Linked DNA regions of Oryzias latipes. The protein of the gene in region 1 purifies or fractionates together with the protein of each later gene. This does not show direct contact. Links are inferred from orthologs where the notes say so. Each region holds a gene or a part of one and is shown on either strand. Other genes may lie near its edges.

Region 1 (5,426 bases):
GAACACCGCTGTTCATCAGGACCGCCGCCCTGCTGCCTTCAAACTGAAAAGCTCTGCTTGAGTGAGTCAGAAGGCGTGGCGGAGGCGTGGCACACTGACTGGTGGAGAAGCCGATCCTCTTGTGGCAGCGAGTGAACTCGATGTTGAAGTAAGTGACCAGCGCGTGGATGTAGTCGTTCCTCTTCACCTGCAGGCAGAAGGGCGAGGTGAAGGTCAGGTCCTCGGCCTTCACCGTGTAGATGTCCACCTCCTGAAAGGGCAAACGGAGCGTTAGCGGAGCGTGCAGACGTGTGACGGAAGAAGCCCCGCCCACAGGACTCACCCGGATCAGGCAGGAGTTGCTGACCAGCTGTTTGGGATCCACCACGTCTACCAGCGGTTCCTTAATGGCCACCTCCTTGATACAGGACATGTCGAAGCCGTACACGTTCTCCCACCCTGAAACAGACCGCGCAAACGTGACTCCCCCACCGAGACGGAGCCAGCCCCGCCCCGGTCATGTGACCTACTCACAGTGGATTTTGTAGTCCTTGTACTGCCGGTCTTCAATGGCCGTGACGTATAGAGTAGCTCTGTCAGGGAAAATGAGTCCGTCCGGCTTCTGTGAGGGAGGGGGACATGAGTGTTAGGAACACACTCAGGGGTTACATTTAAACATCTTCAATGAACCGATCATGACTGTGTTCACAGCAGAAGCTCCTTTCTAGAGCCACCAGGAGGATCTTTGAGGGATTCCCAGAATTCCAGCCGCCAACCTTTGCCGTCAGCTCAGCTTTGGTAGAAACTTTTATCATTGAAATGTCGTACTTTTGTTAAGACCATTGACTGTTTCAGAGAACTGGACTGAGTAACCCCTCCCTTCTGGCATTCCAAACAGGAAGTGACTCCAAGAAGCCAATGTCCCATAGACGTCTATAGAGAAACAGACAGCTGTTCGTCCTGTGTTCTATTGGTCAGAAGAACCGTTCTGGATCTGATGCCTTTTCCTAACAATCTATTGATAATTTAAATATTTTTTCTGTAGTTCAAACAATAAACTGACCAATCAGAAGCCTCAAAAGTAGGTTGTGTTAGAAACGTTTGACAGATTTTCGTGTAGCCCACTTTAAGTGGTAGGGGTGTGGCCTTCCAACATGCTCTCTTCTGATTGGTTGTCATAGAAACAACTTAGACCAATCATTGCTCACTGACATTGTCTGGCTTCAACATGGCAGCGTAAAAAATTTAATTTTGAACTTTTCTATCGTTTGACGTAATTCTAGGCCTGCACAAAAAAAAAAATCAAAAAACAATCAACATGGCCATATCAACTTGAGCAATCCCGCATTGCAAAGAGGGCGTAAACGTTGACACATATGCACAGTCAGACAAATGTTTAAAACACACCCAACCACAAATTATCTAGTCTGTTCTTGACCGGGTAGATGGGGGCATTTACCCGCTTACCCATCTCCTATTGACAGAACTGGCAGTACAGTTTGTTGACTTATTTTAAAAAATCTCATTATTATATCAATTATATTGTTGTTGTTGTTTGTCTGTTGCAATATTGGTGGCTAATTTTCTTCATGCCATGCAGCTCCATGTCCCGCTCCCTCAGTCCAGGTCTCACATACAGTCAGTGGTTACAGTTACTAGTTTGGAGGAAGCGCTGACGTCCAGAAGGAGACACCCACCAGCCACTTGTCGCGGGCGTAGATGACTGTGTTGAGCATGGACTCGTAGAACAGACAGTAGCCCATCCACTCCGATATGATGATGTCGACCTTGTCCACCGGCAGCTCCACCTCCTCCACCTTCCCCTTGATGATGGTCACAACTAGAGACAGAAGAGGTCAGGACCTTCCCTCCACATTCAGCGGTCAACACCGGACGGCGGTGGACTCACCGTCATCCATGTTGTTGGCCTTCACTATTTTGACGGCGTAGTCAGAAATGCTGCTGCATTCTATCTGTAACGGCAGAAGCACACGGATGAGACAAGGCGCCGCAACCGGGCGCCGCCAAGCCGAGTCCACGCCTTCCTACCCCGATGACTTTCTTGGCTCCGGCTTTAGCCGCGAACATGCAGAGGATGCCCGTCCCGCTGCCCACATCCAGCACCACCTTGTCCTTGAACAGGTGCTTGTTGTAGAACATGGAGTTGCGGTAGGTCAGGGTCCGGACCTCGTCCTTCAGCATCTCCTGCAGGAACAGAGCAGAGGGCGATTGAGGACGCGGGCACCGGGGGCCGCAGGTTTAACGGGACACGAAGGCGTACCTCGTGGATCCCAAAGTGGGCGTAGGAGTCGAAGTAGTAGTCCTTGGATGTCATGTCTTCAGCTGCAGGCTTGGCTGAGCTCTCTCCCTGAGAAACCTCAAAGGAGGAAAAACCCCATGAATGTCTGCAGATCAAAGGAGTCACGTGATCTGGAACCGCCGAGGAGCCGGTCCGGTTCCAGGCAACACAGAAGACAGAGAAACAACCGATCCGTTAACGCTGCCTCAGAGGAACAAAGGACGTGGACCCGATGCCCCATGAGACCACCGGAAGTTAGAGTTATCCTACCCCCCACCCCCACCCGGTAACGTCGGTTCGGTCGTAACAAAGCCACACGTGACGACCAACTTCCAGAACAAGGTTCTGTTGTTGGACCAGCTCAGAGACCGGGACACTCAAGAGGACGGCAGAACCGGTACCGAAGATTCTAGTCTAGTCCGGGATGAAACAGTGGGACTACCCGCTCGCCGGTTTTCCACTCCAGGCTCGACAGAAAAGCTAGTTCAGGTTTCCGGTAAACCGGCACCGCGCGGGTGGAGTGACCCACGTGGAGCTCCGTAGTGGATCACGTTGATCGAGAGTTTTAACGTAAACTCTGGCAGACTAACGTCCGGCGGATCCGAGCTCAGCATCAGCGTGTTAGCACGAGCTGCTAATTAGCCCGGCAGCTAGCACGTTAGTCTCCATGCGGTCCGAAGGCTCTGCCGGTTCCACCGCCAGCTGCGTGCCTGCCGCCCCCCCACCGTCGCTTCAGCGTCGAACCGAAAATACACACCAGACCCCACCGTAAACAAAAGCCAGTTTGAAGAGTTTAACCGTTTCCCCTGTTTTTCTCGTAAATGCGACACTGTGATGAATGAGCGGCGGCAGCATCCGGAAACTCCAGCGCTAACACCCCCTCTACACCGGCGAAGCGCCGCTCCGGAGCCTGCGGGAAAACTCGCGGACGTTTCCTCGAACACAAATGAGCGTTTTTCCCGCTCAAAGACCTCACCTCCATCCTCTCTGCTGGCGCCGCCATTTCGATCTACAGCGAAGAGTCCGTTTCTTCTTCTACTCCGTCCTTCCTTCTCTTCCTCCGTACATTTAATCTGAATCTGCGTTGAAGGCCTACACCGCCACCTACTGTACAGACGGTGGAAATACCGCTTTACCCGTGAGACATTTTTTCTGCATTTTGCCCCTTTTACCACCATCTGGGGCAGGAATCACTAACCTTCCTGAGGGTGAGGGCTATTTTATGGGCTCCACAGGACCTGTTCACTATACATTTACCAACGTTTTCCCAAAATAAACTATAAAAAAATGCTACAAACACTTTAAAAAGACAATTTATGAATCCACTGGGTAATGATAATGAAACTGCTGGTTTATAAAAAAAATGAAATAAAAATATTTTAACAAAATGTGTTAAAATATTAAAAACTGTTAAATAAAGTCTATCTATCTATCTATCTATCTATCTATCTATCTATCTATCTATCTATCTATCTATCTGTCTGTCTGTCTGTCTGTCTGTCTGTCTGTCTGTCTGTCTGTCTGTCTGTCTGTCTGTCTGTCTCTCTGTCTGTCTGTCTGTCTGTCTGTCTGTCTGTCTATCTATCTTTCTTTCTATCTTTCTATCTATCTATCCATGCTCACTGGTTTTTCGTAGAGACTTCTGGGATATTTCTAGGGCCCTGGATTTTGAAATGTAGATTTGTAGACGCACTATATAGTGAAGGGATTTGGACTCAACGATTTTCTCACTTTCACACAATTTGGCAAAAGAAAACTTTTGTTTAAGCAATTACAGTTTTTTTCAGTCGCTTTAGTACAATTGTCAGATCAGAATGAAATTCCCAAAACTATTTGTTCAATCTTCACATCATGATGTCACTTGTGCACATCATATAAGCAGTTTCTCACTTCTTTGAACAAGTTGCAATTGCTTTGGTACATCCATGCAAATGATTATGTACAATTCTCTGCTCTTTGCTACATTATCAATTGTTTATGTCATGTTGATCAAAATGTATTATATAGTTCACTGTGCAATAGTCTTACTCCTCAAAACTCCTAGTCATTAGTTCATCGTATAAGTCATTAACTGCAAAATGGTTGACCAAGTTGTCATAATGTGACAATCATATTTCGCTGCATTGCAAGAGAGGATATTCGCTGTGATGTGGATGAGAATTTGTGGCCTAACATACAGGAACGACAAGAGGTGTAGGAAGACCACACCAATTCCTACTGCACTGCCTGGACTGTTGGACAGAATATTGTCCTATCTTTTTTCCCCTTTGTGTTACTGTTTGCAGTGGGTTTTTTCTATGTTGGTATGACATGGTCTGTCTACAAATTACAATATGAACAATAAAAGTGTAAATGTGAATCTTGTCCAGTCTCTTGCAATCAAAAAAAAAAGGTGTAACTTCCATTTTACAATAATTGTCATCCAAACTTTAGCCATAGTTTCCATCAGAACCTCCCTTTAAAGTACACAGTTATATTGACAACATGACTAAGTCATTTGACTGTCTTGTTCGTAGACAATGACACAAGGACTTGACATTCTGATGGCACTGACATGTTCAATGACATAAAGACTTAGTTTGGAGAGATGAACTAAAGATTTTGAGCAAGTTACAGGCTTTTGCAAGAAATCCATAGTGTTTTGCTGTTTGTACAAATAGTTTTGAGAAATGCACACACGTATTTGCAAACTTCAATTCTGATCTGAGAATTGAAACTGAAGCGACTGAGAAAAACTCTATTACAAAACGCATGCCACCAGGTTAAGTCTGCCAGACCCAAAGTGTTTTTGACCTTTGACCTTGAGATAAAAGGGCTGTCCTCTTAAAATTTCCCTAAAAAATCCCCACTAGTGTACTTTTTACAAACTGAAACTCCTCCTTGGGCTTCTGACCCACCTTCTTCCTCTAAGAATGGACCTGTTCGTCAACCACATAAGTTAATACGTTCTGGATCATTGACTGTTGCAACTTCTTAGTTTACTCACTGAACTAGTAGCACAGCTCTGATGCAGTCACATCCACAGGAACCTGAATTCTCCATCAGCTGTTAGAGTTGAAGAATCTCCTCAGACGAGCAACCAAACGTTTTCAAGAAGTCCGGTTCCCCGAAGAACACAACCCACCCCCGACAGGTGCTCCTTTTGACC
Region 2 (5,328 bases), on another chromosome or scaffold:
TTAAACTACATATAGTAAACTAATCATTTAAGTTTGTGAAGCTAAAGTTTTTTCTTCTCTTACTGCCTCCACACTAGCAAAAAGGTCTACCTTGAAGAACAACAGCACAGAAAGCATAATACCTGTTCTGAGAAGTCTTACCTTTGAGTTTTAGCTTAGTTTGAAGCTCCTTGTCGATCTCATCTTTGTGAAACTGAGCATTGGCAGTCTCAAAGTCAAAGTCTTCCTCAAACTTCATGGTTCCATCTCTGCGCATGTTAAGTTTGCCTCTGCTGCGATTTCCTCGCCCGCGCCCACGGCGATTAGGCTGTGCACCACCTGACCAATGAGAGAAATGTATGATTTTCTGACAACCAGCCCAAAATAGTCCACTTACAAAGTATAAAAAATAATTAAGTGTTATTTCTTACCCATTTGGCGCTTGTTGGAATCTCGATTATCACCACCAGCCTGATCGTGATCTAGCTGTGAAGTCTGAACCACAGAAGCTGAACAAAGACAAAGTAGAAGTATTGCGGTTTATATTTTTCATAGTAGTAGGTTTAAAGGTTGTCATCTGGACTTGGTTTTTAAAGTTGAAGACGGTGAAAACGATGGTATTTACCTGGATGAATGAGAGTCTTCATAGGTTTATATTTTTATTATTTCAGGTAACCTTAAAATTTAGTCCATATTTTCATAACATTTTTTAAAGATTTTTTCTTCCCTTTTCCTGTACTCCAGGTTCTGATCCAAAGATCAGTTTTTTTTTAAATCTAAATACAAATCTATTGAGAAGCCCAGCATTTCACATTCCAAAATGGCAGATGCTTCAGCGCTTTTGGGGCAGTTGAAACCCAACAGAACACAATGCTGCCAAAAGTGGTTTTATTGCATCAAAAAGATCCATTTTTAAACCTCTTAAATAGATTTGAGATATTTAAAAGAACCACGGAGGCTACTGTTACCTTTCTTCTGCTCCAGAAGGTCAGGGGGTTTCTGGCTGCCCGTGGAGGTGCTGGTGGGTTTTTGAGCAGTCACTCCTGACTGACTCCTCTGTCCCACAGGAGCTGGCGGAGCGGGGGCAGCTGCAGGTGGAGCTTGCACCGCCTGTTCCCCCGAGGAACTTTTTATCAAAGAGTCCAGTGGAGGGCTTGCACGTCCTGCAATAAAACATTTAAAATGATTTATTTAAAATTCACAATAAATAAAAAAAAAATAAAATATACAGGTTGTTTCTGAATACCATGAATAGAAAAATAAATGTAAGTTGAAATGTAAAGAAACCAATATAATAACAGGTCTTTAACACAGATTATAGATCCCTTCATTTTATACTTACGTATTTAATAAAAAAAAAGAAAACATGAAATTTTGTATTCATGCTTTTTTTCTTACCTCCAGCTCCAAGGGACCCAAACTGTTGGGGTCCAAGGGGAGTAACGCCAAACTGGCTGTATGATGGAACAGGGGCCCTGCTGAATGGTGCATAGGACCCATGAGACTGAAATGAGGATGCTGCTGAGGCATTTGAAGATCCAATTGATGACTAAAAAAAAGAAGAGAGATTCAGTTTTTAAAGACTGCCATGGCATTTTTGGTTGTTTTTGTTCATGATCACAACAAAAATACGAATGACTCGGTTGTTCAGGAAAAGGGGAACTGATGGAGTTCATTACAACAATAAGCTTTGGTCCACAGTAAGACAAAAATCTACCTTGATACAGTTATAGATATTCAGATGGAAATGGTTTTATTTTTTGCCTCAATGTTAAACCACGTAGTTCCTCAACATCTACTACCCTGCCTGTTTTCCACATCTCCCTGCACGTCTTGATGCTGATTACCTGGATCAGGTGTGTTTACTCAATCAGAATGAGGAGTCAGCAGAAAGCGGTACAGATACATCTGTAAAACACACAGGCTGGTAGCTCTGATGTAGGTTCTTTAGTAGAAAATTTGAATCCAACTACCGGTATATTTTAGGCAAATTCAAACAGTGGCTTAAAATGTGCTAAACCAATGAGGCCCCTTTTATCTTAAAAACAAATATCTATTGGGCATAAAAAAAAAAAAATTACACACAACTTGTGCTGTTAATCAGCTCAATATACATCCAAAAAAAATATAATCTACATGAGTTGCTAGTGTGATTCTGAGGGTGTTACTATTGTAACAGATTACACATGAGTCTGGGTAATTCCAAAACTAATCATTTAAAAAAAACATCTTTTCATTTGCTATTTTGGACAGTGTCTTAAGTTTTCAAAGCTGTAACCTGGAAAAAGGTTCAGAGATTTCAAAATTCTAATATTGCTAATATTGGATAGTACCAGAAAAATTATGTGGAATGAAAAGCAGGAAGAGGAACAATAAAGATCTTTTAAAAGTAGATTGCACGATCAGAAAAGAGCTGTGTGTGCTTGTCATTTGAACCTGTACTGCTGTAGATGAAACCCAGCTGTTACTAATTATCTCTAAGGCCCCTTACTACATTGGGCTGTGCGAAAAGAGTTGCAAAGGAGAAGTGTCAAACACAAAAGGCTCACCTGGACTATGGCGGGATCCTGAGGCAGAGAACTAGTGGCTTTGGGTGGTTCACAAACCGTTAGGTCTTTTATATCGCTGCCTCGGAAGATGATGTACTCAAACACTTCCTCCCGGGGTGGAATAGGCCTGTCGGTGGGGCGATCTTCAGTGCCAAAAGACCGAACTGTAAAGAAAATTAGAGACAATTTGAATATAAAACAAGCATCAAAAGATACAAATTTTTACTCCAATAATACGAAATGCATAGGGCATGTAATTATGTACTTTTTTTTGTAAACATGTAAAACAATTTTTTATTGGAGTCTAATTTGATACTCAACATGCTACTAGTAGACTTTTGGAGTTTAAATACAACAGTTAGAAAGTGCGAGTTTAATGTCACTGATAACTTTAATTTTATTAAAATTGTTAGTTTTATACAACCAAAAAATAAAACTATTTGAATTTAATTAAACTAATGGTTAAAACAAAACCACGTTAACTTTTCATACAAGTCATTTGTGCTCAAAAAAAAGAAAAACTACGTAAACAAAGGACGCTGAGTGTGCACCACAACACAGCTAAGCTAGCAGATGCTAGCTTTAAGCTAGCAAACTGCGGGAAAATTGTTTACATAATGGTTTCCTATACCATATACCACGTTTTTGGTCATTTTGGAAAGCTAAAATCTATTCGTGTGTGATTATGCTTACCTTTAGCGAGAGCTACTGTCGAGTTTTCAGTGTCGATGGTGTACAAAATTCCTTCATATCGGATCTCGGCCTTTGAGATTAGGCTAATTTTGCTGCCTATGTACGGCGTCCCTCCTCCGCTCATGTTTGCCTTGCTGATTTAAATACGCCACTAACCTTTGAAGAATGCCCTTTAAGTCAACCTAGAACAAATATATTCAACTTTCCGATGCGCAACTTCAAACCTACATACCACAAATACAAAAGGTAACCCTGAAGCACATTAACCCGCTCCGTGATCCCTCTCACGACATGGCCGTTTTCATTTTCCTTCCCCTGGCGCTAAGCATGCTGGGAGAAAGGCCGTAGTTCACAAAACTACATTTCTGCTCCGACACGCATCTTGAACAAGAACAACCAATAATTTTCGCTAAAATGCTCTTTTAAAAAATGAATTGTTTTGATTGTGAAGTTAAATATTAGTAATTAATAATATATATTTTTTGTAAAATGAATTTCTGGAACTATTTTAAATAGCAAAAACCACTTCCGTGAAGAATTTAGCAGCATCTTGTGGATGTATTATTTATTTATTATGTTGTAATAAACTCCATTAGTCATTTTTTATGTTGTTATTTAATATCAAATCTTTAGAGAACAAGGTTTTTGTCTGGTGTTTTAAAGTTCTGTACACCATTTTGCAACTACAGCAGCATAAAACACGGGTCAATATGTGTTTTTGAAACCTATTTTTAAAACATCGTAAAAAAAGTTTTAAATACATTGACAATGATAAGGGTAAAAAAGGGAAATAAACAAAAAATATGCAAGTATGTATGATAGTAGATATAAGGCGTGGATAAATACATAAGTACATAAATGAATACGTAATTAAAAATGAAAAAAATAAGTAACGAATAAAAAAAGAGAAGAATAAATGAATAAAAACGTCTTTAATTCACAGAACCAAAACAGGGAGCTCAATTAATGACGTCAGGTCCATTCCCACAATGCCTAGTAACACGCAAGCGCACTGTAAAAAAACAGAAGACGACTATCAATGATCAGAGATGGCGGGCGCCTCCGACCCCTTGGAAGATATGCTTTATTCAGAGGTGGATGAAAAAGCCGTTAGCGACCTGGTGGGTTCATTGGAGTCAGAGCTTACTGGACAAAGCACCCCGGTGGGCAAAACAGACGAAAACGGAGGCGCTGGCTCTGTGCCCCCTGCTAATCACCACTTAGGAAAAACGCTACAACCTCCAGTGAGCATCACAACACTAGAACAACAACAACAAGGACGCCGTTTAAAACCCGAAATGCGCCAGGAGATCAACTCTAAAGACGTTAGCCAGGATAAAACTGACACATCTCCTTCGCTGGGCTGTGCTCCGTCCTTCGGCGAGCCCTCCGCCACCTCGCCCGCCTGTGTGAGCGCCAGCAGCAACGGTTCGCAATCACATGGAGCATCCATCACAACACTGACCGCGTCCAGTGTGTCAACTCCTCAAGACAGCATCAGCACCGCATCCAACCGAAGCACTAAGGCGCCCGCGGGCACCGGTGAGACGGAGGCAGCAGAGCCGCCGAGGAGGCGCATCGCGGCGCCGAGGAGAACCGCCTCGGCGCGGATCAAGAGTTTGAACGGTGCAGCCGTGACGACGAGGAGGAGCAGCAGCAACAACACGGCGGCCGAGGAGAGCGTCAGCTCCGCGGACAGCAGCGCGACCACCCCCAACTCCACCCGACCGGCACCGTCCTCCATTAACGCCTCGACTTTCACTGTGTCGAACGCCAGCCTGCCCGTGGGTCAGTCTGCCATCGCTCTGGACCGGGGGACCCCCACCATCGCTCTGCAGAGACTCCCCAGCCACATAGTGGCCAGCATTGCCCAGAACGGCAACGGCACCAGTGTTTCGGCCCTGGTGCAGCAAAGTACTCGACCAGGAGGAGCTGTCAATCCTGCAACTTCCCAGGAAGATCCTGGTAAAACGGACCCCGGAGCTTCCACAGCAGACAAGCCCTGCGTTGACATGCCAGGCCACTCTGGAACAAACACTGTAGCCTCTGCTCCGTCTGCTGTCACACCAGCAACAAGCACAACAGCAGCTGCAACTACTACTACTAC
Region 3 (5,579 bases), about 9.4 Mb from region 1:
CAACCAGTCTCAAACAGACATTAACAAAATTCCTTACAACAAAGGTAGCAAACACAGGTAGTATCTTGTTTTCAGTTAAATTAACCGGAAGCTGAAGGAAAAAAAAAAAAGAGCCTTTTATGGAACACTTCCGGAAAGTGTGGTGGAAGGTGCAGCTTTTCCGAGTTCAGTTATCTTCCCTATTAGATTAACTTATTCCTTCTTTTAGCGTCCCATAAAAAGTTACGTACACCTACAGTTTCATGTGTGCACTTTCATCATCAACTGAGAGGCGAAGAAAGGAAACCGCCACAAAAGCAAATTTCAGAACATAACCCATCAAATTTGAACAAGGGCGACATCTAGTGGCTGAACTCTTGAAAATATAGAATGCATTGAAAAGTATTTAACCCCCAGGGTAAAGCAGGTCATAGCAGATATGAATTTGATCTTTAACTGCTTGAAATACAATTGGACAATGTAATTTACAAACATTTAATAATTTTATTAGCCTATGCATTTTAAAAAGTAGTAAAAGCTTTCATGTAAATACAACCAGCATATTTCCACCTTAGACTGGTTTTAGTAAAAAATAAAGCAAAACAACAATGACCCATTGCTTATTTAATATATACTGCAGGTTTTTATTACAAGTTCCATTCACTACAGGGTTGGGAGAAACTGAGAAAACTCCACCCAGCAGTTAACCTACAGTAAAACCATTCGATCAAAAAAAAAAAAAAAATTAAAACAAAAATAAAACACTTGGTAAAAAACACTTTGGAGTATTTAAAAGAAGAGGTTGGAACAATTTCAATCACATCAGAAGACAAGTGTAAAATATTCTGCACATCTGTAACAAGCACCCCTTTCTGTGCAGACAGGGAGGGATGACGTCAACTAGGATGGGAGGTTTCCTTAACTGGTATCCATCTGAGAAAACAAGAGGTGAAACAGAATTAGGACAGCTGCAAAACAACTTCAACAGAAGATGCTTTCTATTTTGACAGATGTACCCTGGCATTGTAAGCATCTAACTGGGCGTCAAGCTCTTCTGCCGATAGCGGTTGCTTGGGGGCACCGCCGCGCCCCCCCCGCCCTCTTCCTCTGGGACCACCTGCACCACGGACCCCTCGGCCTCTTTGCATCCCTCCGAAACCCCGATTTCTACTCATGCCTCCACCACCTCTGTTCATACTGGTAAAACAAAACAAATACACAAAGAAAATGTAATTGGGGTTTACACAACAGCCTGTTTCCAGTTTCCCAAGAATCCATGCTTACTTACCCCTGCATAGGCCGCCTCTGTGTGTCGATCTGTGATGTGACGAGCTGAATGTTCATAGGCCGCCCTAAACACAAATTAGGCTTTAATCTTGGGAAGATCAACTAATATTTAAATGTATTTATCTAATTAAATAAATCTGTAATAAAGTAGAAGAATACCATCAAGAGGAATGCCATTGTACTGTTTCATGGCTTTCAGGGCATCTGCCCTCCTTTCAAAGTGGACATCTGCCGTTCCAAGGCTTCTTCCTGATCTGTCGTAATGAACTGCAGCTTTCTTTAGAGTCCCAAATTCAGCAAAGAGTTCCTTCGATAAAAAAAAAAAAAGTCAAAACTAAGTCATCAATTAAAAAAAAAAAACATCACCATCAGATATGCTAGCTAAGTTGTACCTGGATGTCTGCGTCTGACACCCCAAAGTCCAGATTGGAGACGAGGAGCTTTCCTCCCGTTTCCACACCAGCTCCTCCGCCACCTCCAGCAGCCCCATTGAAGCCGCTGAAGCCGTTGTCAAACATGTCGTGCTGCCATTTATCGGGAAGCTGTTTGGGCTGCAACAGACGAAAGAGAACGCACCTGCTGACTTCAGGATCCCCTGCCTCTGTCTTTCACAGAGTCCACACGGCTGGGTGTTGGTGCAAGCAGGTGCTCCACTTCCAACACGGCCAGGGTGCTCAGCAGACCCCCCCATGATCCCTGCCCACCCCATCGTTACAATCACGTGAATCACTTCAGACAGAAATACACAAATTTAAAAATAGCTATTTTGGTGTTTTGATACAGAAAATTTCAATGTTTTACTACTTGTAAAGTAAGACAAAAAGCTGACAGATATTTAAACTAATCATTTTCATACATTAACTTTAAAAAATCTTTACATGAACCAAAAATCCGCCCCAAACTAGCTAGCATAACCCCGTCGTTTCTTGCCATCTGCTACTCCACCAACTGCTCTGTCTGTCGACATGCTCCTCAGGCACACGAGGGGGGGTCCCCGGCAGAAGCAGCCTCGCATCCCGCGTTGCGCCGCTTGTCCAGGCTCACAACAGTCCTTTGTCAGGCCACAATTCGACTTTCATGAAGAAATGTCTTTAGGATGTTACAGGTGAAGAACATTTTGGGGGGAAAGAAGCCGATAGCCCCCTTTTTAGTGCGTGGAGTACGCGGACGTCCATTTTGAAACCACGCCATTTTGATCGGGGCTTTGTTTGGGTTGCATTTATATTCATTCACACCCCAGGAGTGAAGATTGGGCTTCTTTTTACAAAAAAAAAAAAAAAAATAAAGGAAATTTGAGGGGATTAAGTATGAGTCCACGTATCCATCCATATGTGACATTTGGTGAAAAGCCTTTTGGGTGGGATTTTAAGAAACCCCGTCAGCCATTCCTGGGACAAAAGGCCGCCTTGAAGATGTAGCAGGACGTTGGAAGGAATGTGATTCCGTAGCAATGGAAAAAACGTGCAGGAACCTTCTCAGCGATGTAGGCATCCTTTTCTTTCCAGACCATTACGACACTTGGGGTAAAACATCATTTTGACGCCAAATTGTATTCGAGGTTGTTGGATTCAAAATGGCGCTGAGACCTTCACGATCCGGCAGGTTAGCCAATGTGGCTAACATAGTCGCTCCTCAAGCAGCTTCTTCTTGAAAAGTGGTGCGACACATATAGGTTGTGGGAGAAGGGACATATTATGCAAACAACCTCCATTTATGCTTATCCACAAACTATAGAGCTCTCCTCTAAGGGAAACTCAGCGGTAAGCAACCATTTTAATGGCTTGACTAGCTAGGTGATTAGCCGTCAAGCCAAATGGAGAAAAGAAGACGTAAACCAGGAATTTTCAGCTTTGACGAAGGTTTTTTTCCTTCCAATGCCCATTCGTCTAACTTTCTCATACCCTGCTATAAGGCGTTGGTCTGCCTCTAGCGCGGCTCAGGTTCTGTCGGGTCCTCATGGGGCCTGATCCTCCGCCTCGGCCTCCAAATCCGCCGCCGCCACCACCAAGACGCCCAAGGCCTCCTCCACGGGCACCGCCTGAGCCTCCGCGGCCTCGGCCTCTTCCCCCACGGGCTCCGCCTCTACTCTGCCTGTTCAGCTTGATAATGTCGTCTAGAGACATATCCATCTTATCCGCCATTATGCTGCCCCGATAACTCTAAAGCACTGTAAAGATTTAAATTGTCTTAAAACACCCTGGACTAAGCTGTTCCCTCTCTTCGTCCGTAGATTTACGCTCTCTGGTCCAAGTACTAAGCACAATGAAAAGCGCCCACAAGCTGTAGAAAAGCTGATTGGTTGGAGAACACGTACTCTTGACGTCATTACGTTAAAAACTACAACAACTCTTTACCGCCCTCTACTGGAAACTAAAACATTATTCCTAAAAAACGCCATACATGGGTGTGTTCAGTTCATAGTAACACTAAAAGAAGCAATCAAAGCATTAAATCAAACACTTTTAACTATATCTCTATAACGAAACTGAATAACATAAAAAAAAATACTTTTAGACTTTAAATTACATTGAAAACAAATAGGCTAAGGCACTTCTTTAAACAAACAAAAATGTGGTTTCATATTTCAAATGAAATTTGTATTGAATTGATTTTTTATTTAGATGTGACTATGACCTAAAGAAAACTTTCTTAGTTTGATCAAGAAACGTTATTATAATGAATGCTTAAATTGGACAACACCCTGAACTCTCAATATGCATATTATAAATACAAATTGGATCTCTTTTTGATGAGACACGTCAGCAAATCTGCTAAGAAGTTGAAATTAATTTGATCTCAAAAGATTAATTTTGCATAAAAAGATAGCAATTCAAAGTATTATTCAAAATTTTGCTCTTCTTCATACTACAATAAGGATTAAAAAAGCACCCTGCACGAGAATGCATGATTGTATTCTTCCTTCACATTCATTTGAAATATGTAAATAACAAATATAAATGCAACTCTATTGTTTTGATTTGAAGGTAGTAGTATTTTTAAGACCAACAACTTCTTCACCTAATTAGAAAACAAACAAAAAAGAAAGTTTCCCTCTTGTTCTTTTATTGAAACCTTTCCTACATTGATTGTTTCTGAGCTACATGGCTCTGTTTGTCTGTAAACTCTACCTCTGTTAATTGCACGTTATTATAAAGAAATAACAAAAAACTGGTATTGCTGTTATTAATAAAAAAAGCAAAAGAATTACTTTCCTAATAATTGTGGGTGTAAAAAAAGTGAAAATCAAAGATATAATCAATCTGTAAAGCTAAACTACAAATACAGTTATGTATATTTAAAAATAGCTGAATTTTAGTGGGGTGGGGGATATACTGGGGAGTTTTTAACCTCTTATTTATGATCGTTTTCCATACTTTTAGCTAACGTTTGTTCCGAGGAAAAAAACAGCCTAACACTGATTACTGTTCATTGTATTATAACAAACATACATGAGTGTCAAACCAAGCAGAAGTTCTGTAAAAGTCTTTTATTCAACATTTTGCTTCCAAGGCTTAGAGGAAGGAGATAAGAGCTGCATTCCTGCATTCACTACTCAACAATGTCCATCCCAGGGCAAGAAAAATGTATAATAATAATAATAATAATAAAAAAAATGTTGGCCTTCCACATTGTATTTTGGTTTCCAAAACAAGCCCACTAAGAGGATATCCATTGAGATCATTCTACTGTTTATCAATTGGTTTTCCAAAAAATAAAAACAGAAGTCAGCCCTTTCATATTTTCTTTCAAAGTCATCAGGGTACATTTGGTAGTAGAGGGTTTAAGTCTTGTGTCCTCGTTTTTTGTGCCTTAACCACAAAACCTTCATTGAAACTTTTGATGAAAACTGTGAACTAAAAATGCAGAGAAAGTGGGAAGAATCTGAACTCCCTGAAATCCAAATCCTTTTGGTTCTTGTTGAGGATTTAAAAAAAAAAAGGGGGGGGGGGCAGAGGTTGCTTTAGTCCAGAGTAGAGATTCGATTTGCATTCTGGGTTAGATTGGCCAATGGGTCAAACGTTCTTGCTGACAGCGGGCTGATAAATCAAAAGTTCTTTACAATAATGGGTGGAGAAAAAAAAAAAGCAAGTGGATCATCATAGAAAAGACTAAGATTTCTTAGAGTCCTGTGTGTTGCGCTTTTTAAGATCACTCAGGTCCACTGGTGTAAATGCTGCAAAACCAAACAGAAACACAAGTGTCATTTAAAAAATGTCCTAAATCAACATAAAGATCTCTTGGCTTAATGTCTCTGTAACTTACAATGTAGATTAGGGTTAGGGTTCTTCTCCACATACTCCTGCGGCCCGCGG

Evidence for each region. Proteins that work in one complex are often made in the same cells at the same time.
Region 2: the proteins of prmt1 (region 1) and lsm14a purify together in Homo sapiens (affinity purification with mass spectrometry; 3 studies listed by BioGRID and IntAct, with this or other methods). This does not show direct contact. The link is inferred for Oryzias latipes from reciprocal best matches to the Homo sapiens genes PRMT1 and LSM14A.
Region 3: the proteins of prmt1 (region 1) and THO complex subunit 4 purify together in Homo sapiens (affinity purification with mass spectrometry; 3 studies listed by BioGRID and IntAct, with this or other methods). This does not show direct contact. The link is inferred for Oryzias latipes from reciprocal best matches to the Homo sapiens genes PRMT1 and ALYREF.

What each region holds. Positions count from the first base shown.
Region 1 is NC_019866.2:24,803,837-24,809,262, forward strand, and holds the start of prmt1 (protein arginine N-methyltransferase 1), read right to left. Parts: upstream 3,378-5,426; 5' UTR 3,282-3,377; coding exon 3,255-3,281; intron 2,357-3,254; coding exon 2,261-2,356; intron 2,185-2,260; coding exon 2,029-2,184; intron 1,953-2,028; coding exon 1,889-1,952; intron 1,820-1,888; coding exon 1,677-1,819; intron 602-1,676; coding exon 514-601; intron 439-513; coding exon 323-438; intron 251-322; coding exon 100-250; intron 1-99. UniProt on the Homo sapiens protein: Arginine methyltransferase that methylates (mono and asymmetric dimethylation) the guanidino nitrogens of arginyl residues present in proteins such as ESR1, histone H2, H3 and H4, FMR1, ILF3, HNRNPA1, HNRNPD, NFATC2IP, SUPT5H, TAF15, EWS, HABP4, SERBP1, RBM15, FOXO1, CHTOP, MAP3K5/ASK1, MICU1 and NPRL2.
Region 2 is NC_019861.2:30,567,303-30,572,630, forward strand, and holds the start of lsm14a (protein LSM14 homolog A), read right to left. Parts: upstream 3,555-5,328; 5' UTR 3,346-3,554; coding exon 3,222-3,345; intron 2,693-3,221; coding exon 2,529-2,692; intron 1,529-2,528; coding exon 1,378-1,528; intron 1,143-1,377; coding exon 948-1,142; intron 489-947; coding exon 411-488; intron 319-410; coding exon 142-318; intron 1-141. Other genes in the region: transcription initiation factor TFIID subunit 4, read left to right, coding at 4,271-5,328. UniProt on the Homo sapiens protein: Essential for formation of P-bodies, cytoplasmic structures that provide storage sites for translationally inactive mRNAs and protect them from degradation. Acts as a repressor of mRNA translation. May play a role in mitotic spindle assembly.
Region 3 is NC_019866.2:15,369,083-15,374,661, forward strand, and holds THO complex subunit 4, read right to left. Parts: upstream 3,555-5,579; 5' UTR 3,408-3,554; coding exon 3,168-3,407; intron 1,818-3,167; coding exon 1,659-1,817; intron 1,574-1,658; coding exon 1,426-1,573; intron 1,332-1,425; coding exon 1,268-1,331; intron 1,177-1,267; coding exon 996-1,176; intron 913-995; coding exon 898-912; 3' UTR 589-897; downstream 1-588. Other genes in the region: mcrip1 (mapk-regulated corepressor-interacting protein 1), read right to left, coding at 5,376-5,440, 5,530-5,579. UniProt on the Homo sapiens protein: Functions as an mRNA export adapter; component of the transcription/export (TREX) complex which is thought to couple mRNA transcription, processing and nuclear export, and specifically associates with spliced mRNA and not with unspliced pre-mRNA.